Drosophila melanogaster: one gene and its partner. The protein of the gene in region 1 purifies or fractionates together with the protein of each later gene. This does not show direct contact. Each region holds a gene or a part of one and is shown on either strand. Other genes may lie near its edges.

What was found. The genes of interacting proteins can lie anywhere in the genome.
Region 2: the proteins of Mcm3 (region 1) and CG3430 purify together in Drosophila melanogaster (affinity purification with mass spectrometry, with the first as the bait; one large-scale study listed by BioGRID). This does not show direct contact.

Annotation. Positions count from the first base shown.
Region 1 is NC_004354.4:5,321,855-5,328,169, forward strand, and holds Mcm3 (minichromosome maintenance 3), read left to right. Parts: upstream 1-2,000; 5' UTR 2,001-2,142; coding exon 2,143-3,501; intron 3,502-3,564; coding exon 3,565-3,798; intron 3,799-3,872; coding exon 3,873-4,739; 3' UTR 4,740-4,884; downstream 4,885-6,315. Other genes in the region: Rnp4F (RNA-binding protein 4F), read right to left, coding at 1-473, 536-553; CG3309 (uncharacterized protein), read right to left, coding at 5,452-6,255, 6,315-6,315. UniProt on the Drosophila melanogaster protein: Acts as a component of the Mcm2-7 complex (Mcm complex) (Mcm complex) which is the putative replicative helicase essential for 'once per cell cycle' DNA replication initiation and elongation in eukaryotic cells.
Region 2 is NT_033779.5:6,955,011-6,960,514, forward strand, and holds CG3430 (uncharacterized protein), read left to right. Parts: upstream 1-1,997; 5' UTR 1,998-2,087; coding exon 2,088-3,277; intron 3,278-3,335; coding exon 3,336-3,579; intron 3,580-3,645; coding exon 3,646-4,029; 3' UTR 4,030-4,094; downstream 4,095-5,504. Other genes in the region: CG13775 (uncharacterized protein), read right to left, coding at 1-192, 247-1,209, 1,608-1,862; Atac1 (Ada2a-containing complex component 1), read right to left, coding at 4,173-5,243; Hmgcl (3-Hydroxymethyl-3-methylglutaryl-CoA lyase), read left to right, coding at 5,433-5,477. UniProt on the Drosophila melanogaster protein: Associated component of the MCM complex that acts as a regulator of DNA replication. Binds to the MCM complex during late S phase and may act by promoting the disassembly of the MCM complex from chromatin.

The DNA.
Region 1 (6,315 bases):
TTTTTGCTGGGCAACGCATTCAGCTCCTGATACGAGCGCTCTAGCTGATTTCCGCCGCCAGCGTTGTCGCTATCACTGTCACTGTCACTGGACACCTCACTGTTCGATTCCAATTCCGAGCCTTCGATCACGCCCACATCATCGCTACTGCTGCTGGAATCATTGCGCGCTCTGCCACGGCCAGCGGCATTGCCTCCCTCAGTCTCCTCCACTGACGGCTCGTCGTCCGATGAGATCAACTCAATGGTGGTCATATCCCCGCCGGCGGACGACGGTGGCCAGGTTGGGCGCGATCGTTGGCGCAGCTCCTCCGACTTGTGCTCCTCCTCCTGCTGCGGCGACTCACTGTGCCCCTGCTGCGGCGAGCCCTTGCCCTGATCGGGTATCACGATCAGATCATACTCGTCATACGCATCGTCGTCCAAATCCTCTGCCGGCATCTCGTCCAGCTCCTTCTCCAGCTGCCTTTCCAGCTGCAATATATTGGGCATACGCATAAGGGCGGCGCCTATTGGAGCTATAATCTGACACTCACCTGCTTGTCGGCGTCCATGCTTCAACCGTTTATTTTGGTGGAAAACTTTTCGCTTTCCGTGGAACTGCAATTTTTCCCCCCCAAAAAAAATACAGGAAATAAAAAAACAAAAAAAAAACCGCAAACGCAGGGCTGGCCAATCTAATATCGCGTTGTTGCGCTTATCGTGGAAAATTATTTGGTTTCAGGTTTGGTTTCCCTATTGGGCACTTTTTCTTGGAAAAACTTTCCAAGCACTTACTTTCTGAGAATTCGGTTAACGAAAACTTATCATTTTCTGTCAAGAAACACCGGTAAAGTGTGAATAATATGCGAATTTTTTTTTCGTTATAACAGTGTGACCAGTGCGTAATATCGATAGCTGTGCGCACTCGATAGTTGCGGCAGTCCAGACAATGGCTGTGTTACCAGCAGTGCAGTGAAGACTCGTGATGAGCAATTTGAAGACTAATTTCGGTAATATGTGGTCAATATTAACTGGTTTCTTTGGGCGGTCAGAAATGTATAGCAAAGTCAAATGATAAACTAAATCCTACCAAGAAATATAATTTATTTTAAACATATATATATTTTATAGAAATAAATAAAAATGGAATTTATTTTACTTAAGTGCTATATATATATGTATCATAAAATGTAAACAATTTCTGTTTCTTTTACACAAACTATTTAATAATAATAAACTATTTAATACGCAGCCACATCATAAATGGATTAAGTGTAGACAGTACTCAGGCAAATAATAAAAATATTATACCATTATATGAATGGATTAAGTGTGGACAGTAATTAAGCAAATAATAAATATATTACTATATACTATAATACTATAATAGGAATTGATTAGGTGTAAACAGTAATAAGTCATATAATACATATATTGTATATATTATAGGATATAGTAATAATAATATAATAATAATTAGGCAAATAATAAATACAAATATTATACTATTATAAGAATGGTTTAAGTGTAATAATATTATATATTATATAATAATTAAGCAAATAATAAATATATAATACTATTATAAGAATGGATTAAGTTTAAACAGTAATTAGGCACATAATACATATATTGTATATATTATAGGAATGTATTAAGTGTGGACAGTAATTTAGCAAATAATAAATATATTTTACTATTATAGCAATGGATTAAATGTAGATATTAATTAGGCAGATAATAAATATATACTACTATTATAGGAATTATTTGATAGTTTTCTATATTGTATGCATTACAAATTAAGTCAGATGTTCGGTGGAAACGTTTTAATTATAAATTTGCATATCAACGTATATTTGCTTATATTAGTTAGTTTGCTATGTCCACTATGTTTTATATAATAAAGTTAATAATTATATGTAAATATATAAAAAAAGGAAATAATTATAGCATATATATTTTGCCCGCGCAACCAGTCTTCAAATGCCCACAGTATGGTCACACTACGCTTTTCCCGCGAAAAAACTTTGCATTCGGCGTGCAATTTGCGACATTAGTTTTGTTTGCATTTGCGTTTGCCTCCGAACGGATCGAAGTTGATCCATAAGCGAAATCGAAAGAAGTTTTGTGAACTCCAGTGTACAGCTTAAGTCACAGAATGGCCCACGAGGGGGAGCAGTTCATCAAGGACATACAACGCGAGTATGTGGACTTTCTGGACGACGAGGAGGATCAGGGCATCTATGCGGGCCACGTCAAGGATATGATCGCGGAGAAGAGCAAGCGCCTGATCGTGAATGTCAACGATCTAAAACGCAAGAATCCGCAACGTGCATTGGGGCTACTGAGCAACGCGGCGGATGAGCAGCTGGCCTTTGGCAGGGCGCTCAAGGAGTATGCGTCCACGGTTGATCCGGGCTATGCCAAAATGCATGAGGATCTGTTTGTCGGCTTCGAGGGCTGCTTTGGCAATCGGCATGTGACGCCGCGCTCCCTCACCTCCATCTATCTGGGCAACATGGTGTGCGTGGAGGGCATTGTTACCAAGGTATCGCTGATTCGTCCCAAGGTGGTGCGCAGCGTTCACTATTGCCCCAATACGCGTAAGGTAATGGAGCGCAAATACACCGATCTCACATCGTTCGAGGCTGTGCCATCTGGCGCTGCCTATCCCACAAAGGACGAGGATGGCAATCTGCTGGAGACCGAATACGGTTTGTCCGTTTACAAGGATCACCAGACGCTGACCATTCAAGAGATGCCCGAGAAGGCGCCGGCTGGCCAATTGCCGCGTTCGGTGGATATTGTGTGCGACGACGATCTCGTGGATCGCTGCAAGCCCGGCGATCGTGTACAGATTGTGGGCAGCTATCGCTGTTTGCCGGGCAAACGCGGTGGCTACACCTCGGGCACGTTCCGCACCGTGCTGCTGGCCAACAATATATCGCTGCTCAGCAAGGAGAGCAATTTGGACATATCGCGCGAAGACATCATGCTGTGCAAGAAGCTAGCGAAGAATAACGACATCTTCGAGCTGCTCAGCAAGAGTTTGGCGCCCTCGATTCATGGACATGCCTATGTGAAGCAGGCCATTCTTTGCCTGCTGCTCGGCGGCGTTGAGAAGATCCTGCCGAATGGCACACGCCTGCGTGGCGATATTAATGTCTTGCTTATCGGCGATCCTTCGGTGGCCAAGTCGCAGCTACTGCGCTACGTCTTGAATACGGCACCAAGGGCCATACCGACAACGGGTCGCGGATCCAGCGGCGTCGGTCTGACGGCGGCGGTTACCACGGATCAGGAGACCGGTGAGCGGCGATTGGAGGCGGGCGCCATGGTCCTGGCCGATCGCGGTGTCGTCTGCATTGATGAGTTTGACAAGATGAGCGACATCGATCGCACAGCCATTCACGAGGTGATGGAACAGGGTCGTGTTACCATTTCCAAAGCGGGCATCCATGCCTCGCTCAATGCTCGCTGCTCCGTTTTGGCAGCCGCTAATCCGGTGTACGGAAGGGTAAGAGTCCATCCGAATCCGTCTGTTCATCGCTTTTCTTGCTAATTTCGTCTTCAATTCCAGTATGATCAATATAAGACGCCGATGGAAAATATTGGACTGCAGGATTCGCTGCTTTCGCGTTTCGATTTGCTCTTCGTTATGCTGGACGTGATTGACAGCGATGTGGATCAAATGATTTCGGACCATGTGGTGCGCATGCATCGCTATCGCAATCCCAAGGAGGCCGACGGCGAGCCCTTGTCCATGGGCAGCTCCTATGCGGACTCCTTGTCCTTTGTTTCCAGCAGCGAGGAGGTGGGTTTTCGTCGAAAGGCACGATTATGATTGTGTATAATCGATTGACATGGTCTTGAAATTGTATTTTACAGAAGAAGGACACCGAGGTGTACGAAAAGTACGATGCCCTGCTGCATGGCAAGTCGCGTCAGCGTCACGAGAAGATCCTATCCGTGGAGTTCATGCGCAAGTACATACACATTGCCAAGTGTATGAAGCCCAAATTGGGCGAGCAGGCCTGCGAGGCGATTGCCAATGAGTATTCGCGCCTGCGCTCCCAGGAGGCGGTCGAAACGGATGTGGCACGCACGCAGCCAATAACGGCCCGTACCCTGGAGACCCTCATCCGTTTGTCCACGGCCCATGCCCGGGCACGCATGTCCAAATCGGTGACCATCGACGATGCCCATGCGGCCATCGAACTGGTACAGTTTGCCTACTTTAAGAAGGTGCTGGATAAGGATCGCCCCAGCAAGCGTCGTCGCAACAGCGGCTCCGATGCGGAGGATGACAACGGTGAGGCATCTAGCCAGCGCTCACCATCGCGACGCTCCAAACGCACACGCACAGCGACCGTCGGTGCCGATAGCGATGAGGAGGATATTGAGCCACCACAGCCGGATGCTGGCGATTTGACGCGTCGCGAAACGCGTCGTTCTCTGCCCGCTCGCTCGGTCGCCATGCTGATGGCCAGCCCCTCCAGTGAGGAGCAGTCGGTGGCCACATCGACCACGGAGCCGGCCATCATTAGCGATGCCCGCCTGGGCGAGTTCAAGAACAATTTGCAGCGACTGTTTCGCGAGGCACGCGAACAGAGCTTGGCGCTGGCCAGGATCACCACGGCCATCAACGTTGGCAGCCAGGAGCCGTTCACCGCTGGCGAAATCGAGGCCGCCGTGCATCGCATGACCGAGGACAATCAGATCATGGTCGCCGACGATATAGTCTTTCTCATCTGATCGCGCATTCCAAGGAGCAACAATCGAACGAACGATTGCATCCATCAATCCATCCTTTATCCATCAACCATTCTAGCGCTTAAGTTGTCATTTTTGTTTTGTATTTATATAAAAAAAAAAATAAACACTTTGGAACTCCCATTGCAATCCACGGAATATGTACGTTGGCATAAGGAAAGGCTGCAGCTGTTGGCTAATGTATTATAGTTAACTTATATTTGACATAAACAATTTAAGCGATATACACACAAAGTTGCACAACGGTTTTAAAAGAAACAAACTGAAGGTATAACCAACTGGCTTCACAACTCCCATTCACAATCAGTAAAAAGCTGGAGAGGAAGGGACTGCAATGTTGTGGTTAGTGGTTTCAAGCTGCAGCCACATAGATATTATTGGCATGGTTTTCGACATTTTGAGACATGAGCATTGTTTTCGCATGGATGTGAAAATATGGAAGGGACACATCGATTACATTTAATACTTGACTTGTAGTTTGAACTAACAACATTCATCGCTTCGCTTGGATTCACTTTAGAATTAAACTAGACACAAATACGGCGACTAATCGCCGATTAAAATCTATTTACACTGATAAAGAGCACCGCCAGGCACAATCACACAATCACAGGATACTAGCAGACAGATGTGGAGCAGCCAAAGTGATAAGTGGCAGAAGAGAAGGAGGAGGACGAGGATTGAGCTACTACCATCAAAGATTCACCACATTCTTGAGATCCGGCGGCAGCAAGCCCTTCATGCACTCAATCTGGGCGCGTATCTGCTGCTGAGTTGAGCCATTGTTGCCCTCCAGCTGCGTGGCTTTGTCGCCATAGAGATTCAGTTTTTGCTTGAGCTTGAGTATCATATCGATGATCTCCACCTCCTGCTTGTCGTGCGCCCAGTGCTCGAGATTCGCCACGGATAGCGCCTGCAGCTGTAGATCCTGCAGCGTTAGCTGCAGCTCCCGATGACGTGCACCGTACCAGCCGCGAAAATTGGGCGATCGAAAGAAGCGTCTGTACAGGCCCTTCCAGTCGCCCTTCAGCGGCGACGTTAGCTGCGGCCCAGCGGTTTCCAGCGTGCCCAGAAAGTCATCCAGCTTAAAGCTGTTGGCATTCGGCGCCGACTTAAACGGACTGATGTCCTTTTGCAGCGGCATCAGTGATGCCATATACCGTTCCAGTGGTATCATAAAGCTTTGCGTCAGCTCGAGCAGATGGCGTCGTATCAGTGCGGTTTGCACATGCTCCGGCCGCTTGGTCTTCATGCCCAGCAGCACCTTTTTGATCAGCGCCTTGTCCTTTTTCAGGTACGGCCTATATTTACTGTGCAGGCCCGCGGACGAGGCATCGCCCGAGCCATTGCTGGAACTGGAGCTGCCATTGAGATTGGTGTTCGATTTCAGTGCTATACGGCCACCGAGTTCCGTTGAACTGGAAAATGATGTGGCCGATGCGATGTTCCTTGCGTGTTTTTGGCCCAGCAGCAGATGCTGTTGCTGCTGCATGTTCTTCTGAAAACGAGCAAGACGGATATATTTTGTATTGCGTTAACTGGGATTGGGACACTCACC
Region 2 (5,504 bases), on another chromosome or scaffold:
GCAATCCTCTGGCACTCCAGCGAGCTGAAGCAGAACTTCATTGGCCACCAACTGCTCCTCACGTTCGGTGAAAAATGCTTGCTTATATCTCGGATCCAAATATGTGGCCATCAAAAAGTTGATGTCGCTAGTGATGTGGGCGAACTTCATTTCCAGTTCTTCAAGCAACTTTCTGGCGAAACTGCATATAGTCTAGACATTCGAAATATTAGACAATACTTTATGGTTTTATCTACTGCAACTTACCACAGATGAGACAAAGTTATGGACATCTGTTCGGAGGGAATCCCGTAAAGCGGCAACCAGCGGGATTACGGATGAGGTGGTCGTAGATGGATTGCTCCATATCTTGATTGTTTCTTCACAAGGCTGCATTACTTTGCTGCACAAATCGATCTCTATCCATTCATCTGGATATATTTGGACCAGACTATACTCTTCGCAGTACAAGGATAGAGCATCTTTCATTCGAAACACGCTGCTCATCATCTGAAAAGCGGAATTCCATTGACAGGGATCGTAAGGTGTAAGTGTGCACGGGTCTCGCGTCAAGCGGATCTCTTGAATGAATTTCAGATGATCGTTGGCCATCTTAGACGACGCAAAATGGTCAACTATTTGCTTGCACTTGGATGAAAGGTTCTGCAGTAATTCGTTCGATTGCAAAGCAAATCGAACGCACATCTGCAGGCGGTGCACACTGCAATCGGGCAGGGAACCTGGCAGCGCCGTCATCTCGTCCCTGATTACGCAGTGTATCTTCTCTTTGGGCACCTCAATGGCCAAGCTGGGCACAAGATCTCGAATGCAACAAGCTAGCTTCGAAGTGCTTTCGTAATTCAGAGCCTCGCATTTCAGCATTAGGCGGTGAGTCTGAAAATCCCTTGATATTCCGGAGCAGGACAAGCTCAGCAGTCCTTCGCCTTTGTCACCACGCCAGAGACTCGTAGACAACGATATGGCATCCAGCAGATCCACCTGTTGCTTCAAATGCTGATGCATTTTCCTTTGTATATCCTCGCACAGTATCTTCTCATAGTAGCTCCTTGGTTGAATCGTGTACCGCGGCTGCAGCGTCCTAATGAAATTTACGAATCCTGGTCCTTCAATGAACTCAAAGGAGTGATTTAGTAGCATGAGGGCCAACTTCTCATCACAGCGTTTGCTGTAGGATATATCCTCGGTGTCCAATGGATCTGAATCTGTTTCCTAAAATGATTAATAGAATAATTTAATGCATCAGATTAGTGAAAAACGCATAATTTATAAAAATATAATACTAAGACCATAACAGTACATTTTTAAAACCTCCTTAACTACACTTTATAAACACAACACATGTTTGCCGATCTAGCCAAACGCGGATAAAAATCCGCATCCGCTGTTGCTATATTAGTAAAAAGTTTTAAATAAGAGAAGGCATAAATTACTTTATGAACTACCAAAGAAACTATATTTGAATGGAAACTTAAGTTTGGGGAAACCATCTCCACATGACAGAATATCTAGAAGGGCATGTACCCCGATTTCACATAAGGTACACTTCTTGCACAGTACATATGCATGTACATAGGTATGTATGCACATCTATATGCTATCCCACTTACGTGCAGATTCAATTCTAGCTGGGCTGTGGGGTGCTGTGGCGAACCGATGGAGATCTCGCTCTTAACCAGGTCCAGGTACTTTATGTCCCCGGATAGAGATAGGAACTCCGGTGGGTGCTTGCTCTTCAGATGATTCCGCAGACATGTTGTGCCGCGTCCTCGCCTCGAGTAGTTCCTGTTGCACAGCAGACAGGTGGCCACTGTGCCGGATGTCTTGTAGAAGTACTGCCACACATTGCTTTTCTTCTTGCTCATCGCTGCAATTCTTTGGTAATTCTCAAATTGTACATTTTTTGCGGATGTCCACATCCGCCTCTACATCCGTTCTGCGGCAGAGTTCGACATCCCTGGCAGATATCGATAGGCCCATCGATGACCATCACTAATATGCTGCAATCAGTTTTTGGCGCGCCAAAGCAGCTGTTGTTTTTTGCATTCGAGGTTTTTGAGGCATTTGCAAATTCATTCGTTAACTAGATAATGCCCTGTGCGATGGAGCTGCCCAGCACGCCCGATGAACTGGCCGCCCAGCAAGCGGACAGCGCTGCACTCAAGGACTTGCTCAAGGATCCCAGTCGTTGGCACTCGATTCCCCTGCTCAACTACACGCCTCTTCACAAGCTGAAGGATCAGACTCTGGTGCGCTTTCGTGGAATGATCCAGGACATGATGGACCCAGAAATCTATCTGGAGCGCTACGAAGTGAAATCCGCCGACGGCAGCAAACGTGTACAGGAAGGAAAGTACAGGGACTGCTTGAAAATAGCCAATGGCGAAGTGATTGACTACAACGCCGATGGAAACGTGCATGGAGAGAGGCGTACCATGTTCGTGGTCTCTGTGCCTGGTCTGAACGATTGGAGCAAGGAGCATGAGAAGCTGTGCTGTCCCCAGATCGATTTGGCCAGTCTGGGTCAATCTCCCAGTTCAGCCAAGAAGCGGACTATTGTAGGCGAAGAAGAAGCCATGGATGTGGACGTTGCGAGCGAAACAACGTTCAAGCGACCCTGCCTAAAAGAGATTCAAAAAGATAGCGAGCCAGTCGGCGCCTCCAAATCCTCTGTTCTTGGGTCTGATTACCTGATTAACTCGCCTCTGCCGGATCGTCCCAGCATGGCATGCATGGTAAAGGTTTACGAGGAGTTCGATACCTACCAGCTTAACTCGCTGGTCGACTTTGTGGGCTTTCTGTCAGTGGATGCTTCACTAGACGCCGCTACCCTGGAAATAGACGATTGTGAAAACTTGAGTGAACTGCAGGCAGCTCATCCATCGCCATTTCTTATACCCCGCCTGCATGCCTTCGGAGTCCAGGTGCTGCCGCATGCCAATCCGCTGCTGGACAAAAGCCTTCGACAGCCAACGGAAATATGTGAGGAGACGTATCCAACCCACCTTGCTGTGCACAAAGATCTGCGCATGCTTCTTAAACTCTGCCTCTTTGATGACGATCTGGCTGCCGAGTATTTGCTCTCCCACCTAATATCTACGGTCTACAGTCGTTCTGAGATGCAGAGCATCGGCAAGTTCGCCCTTAACCTTTGTAATCTCCCTAAGAATTGTGAGGCGTATGCAACCAAGTTGTATCAAATTCTGGAGCTGCTACTGCCGGCCAGCCATTACATGCCCATGACTCTCGTCACACTAAACACGGCAGCCTTTGCCCCAAAGTAAGTTGGCTAAGCAGAAATAGTATAAAATTGAATACCTATTAATGAGTACTTGCAGGAAGGATTATGAGACAAACAAGCTGGTTTCCGGCGTACTACAGTTGGCTCCCCATACGCATTTGGTGCTCGACGAGACGTGCATGCAACAGGGCAAGCTGGAGGCCAATGGTGTTCATGCCGTTCAGCATTTAGCGCACTTGATCAATAATCAGGAACTGAAGTGCGACTTTCAGTATTACCAAATAGACTACCAAGCAAATATTCCAGTTCTCGTGCTCAGTGAAGGGCGAAGTATGTTGCCGGTAAGAATATAAGTTTATATAAATAATCATTATATCCAATAGAAACTATTAATGATATGTTTTCAGAGCGATTTTGTGCTGCCCATTAATGCCGATTCTAAGGCCGTGGAACTTGTTGATGAATCTCTAAAGGCAGCCCACCACTATCTGCAGCCATCACGTCTGCAGCAGTTTCGCAAGTACTTGACCACAGCGCGCACTAGCGGCTTCAACGTGAGCGAGGAGCACACTGAAATGATCCAGCAGGATTTCGTGGACATGCGTAAAGCTAATGTCAAAAGTAATGCCGATGATCTGCATGGATTGCTGGTCCTCTCACGGCTGCTGGGCATCGCCCGGGGGAAGGATACGTTGGACAAAGAAACATGGCAGCTGGCTACGGAGTTCGAAGCAAAGCGTCGCCAGCGTATTCAATCTCTGCCGAAATCATCTGCCCAATTGCGCAATTAAGAGGGCCTCTCTTTTATACCATTTAATATTAAGTTTTTATAAATAAAATAGAATTTTTTAAAATTATTCTCTTTATATTTAATTTGTAGCTTTACAGGCAAGTCTAGTAATTTAGTACTCAAGTAAATGGGACTCTAGGAGCGTCATGACTCTTGGTCCACTACAACTTCATGACTTAAATGCTCGAAACGCCCTTCGATTAGCTGACTGGCCAGGCAATCTCCGCACAGATTAAGGTAACAATAACAACTGTTACAACGCCATTGGGTCCTGGTCACAGATGCCTCTTCGCACTCGGCACACTTGGCGGCCAGCAAGTCTGGCTCATATCCGTCCTCCATTTCCCGTTTCTCGTCCTGAATGGCTGATAGAAGCTTAAGGCATAGTTCCTGTTTTCGCTTTGACTCCGCATTCAGATCGGCATCCATGTACTCGGATTCGATCTTTGGTTCGATCTTGGATGCCGGCATAAGGAGCATATCGCTCGCAGGCGATGGGATTCGCAGGTCGTCAAATGTGAAATCGTCCTCTGGCATTTGTAGCGATATATTATGAGCGGGGAAGAAGGTTGACTTGCGAAGTTTGATCTTCGGCTTACTCAAACCAGGACGTCGATGCTTGGGTATGCGACCGGGCACAGGCATTCCGGCATCGTGCAGCTTTTGGAAATACTTCTGGACACGACTATACACTTGCTGTGCCGTTCTGTTGCCCAAGGCCTTCGCTATCTTCCCGAATCTGCGCATTTCCACTTCCTCTGGCGGATACTGGATGAGCAGCTGCTCCAAGCGACTCTGCTCTTCGTTGGTCCACAAGCGATTGAAATTCTCCGACCGTCCATTGCTCCTGTCCCGATTCTTGTTCGCCTCTTGCGTCCATGAAGACGCATCGGTCGGTGTCTCATTTGTGCCCCCTTCCTCGTCATTGGGCGACAGAGTTGGCAAGTCCGGTAGAACGGTCGTGGTGATGTAATTATCCGCTATCAAAGGCTCGTTGTTTCGCAGTTTGTCCAGCATATGTTGCGGATTCTCCAAGTAGATATTTTGTGTGGCTTCCAATTCCTCAATCTGCTGATGCACCCGAATCCTTTGTGCCTGCAGCACGGCCAAAGTGCGCAGCAAATTGGTATAGCACTGGTTGCCACGCAGGGCCAGGTGCTCGGTCTCAAAGTGAAACACATCCTCATCTTCTGCAGATATCTCTGCTATTTCCATTACAAAGAATTAGCACCAAATACCCGTTTGTATACAAAAAATGTGTTTACGCCTCTGCGCTAGAGATGGCAGCTCATTAAGCAAAACAGTTATCGAAATTTAGCAACATATCGATCTTGGATCATTATCAGCTGTTATCAGCGAAAAAAGAAGAAGCGGAATACGTAACGTTTATTTACAAATTTAGCAATGATAAGTGCACCAATTCGCTCTATCCTTGCACTTACAGCAAAGGTAATTTCACGGAAAATCGAACGCACT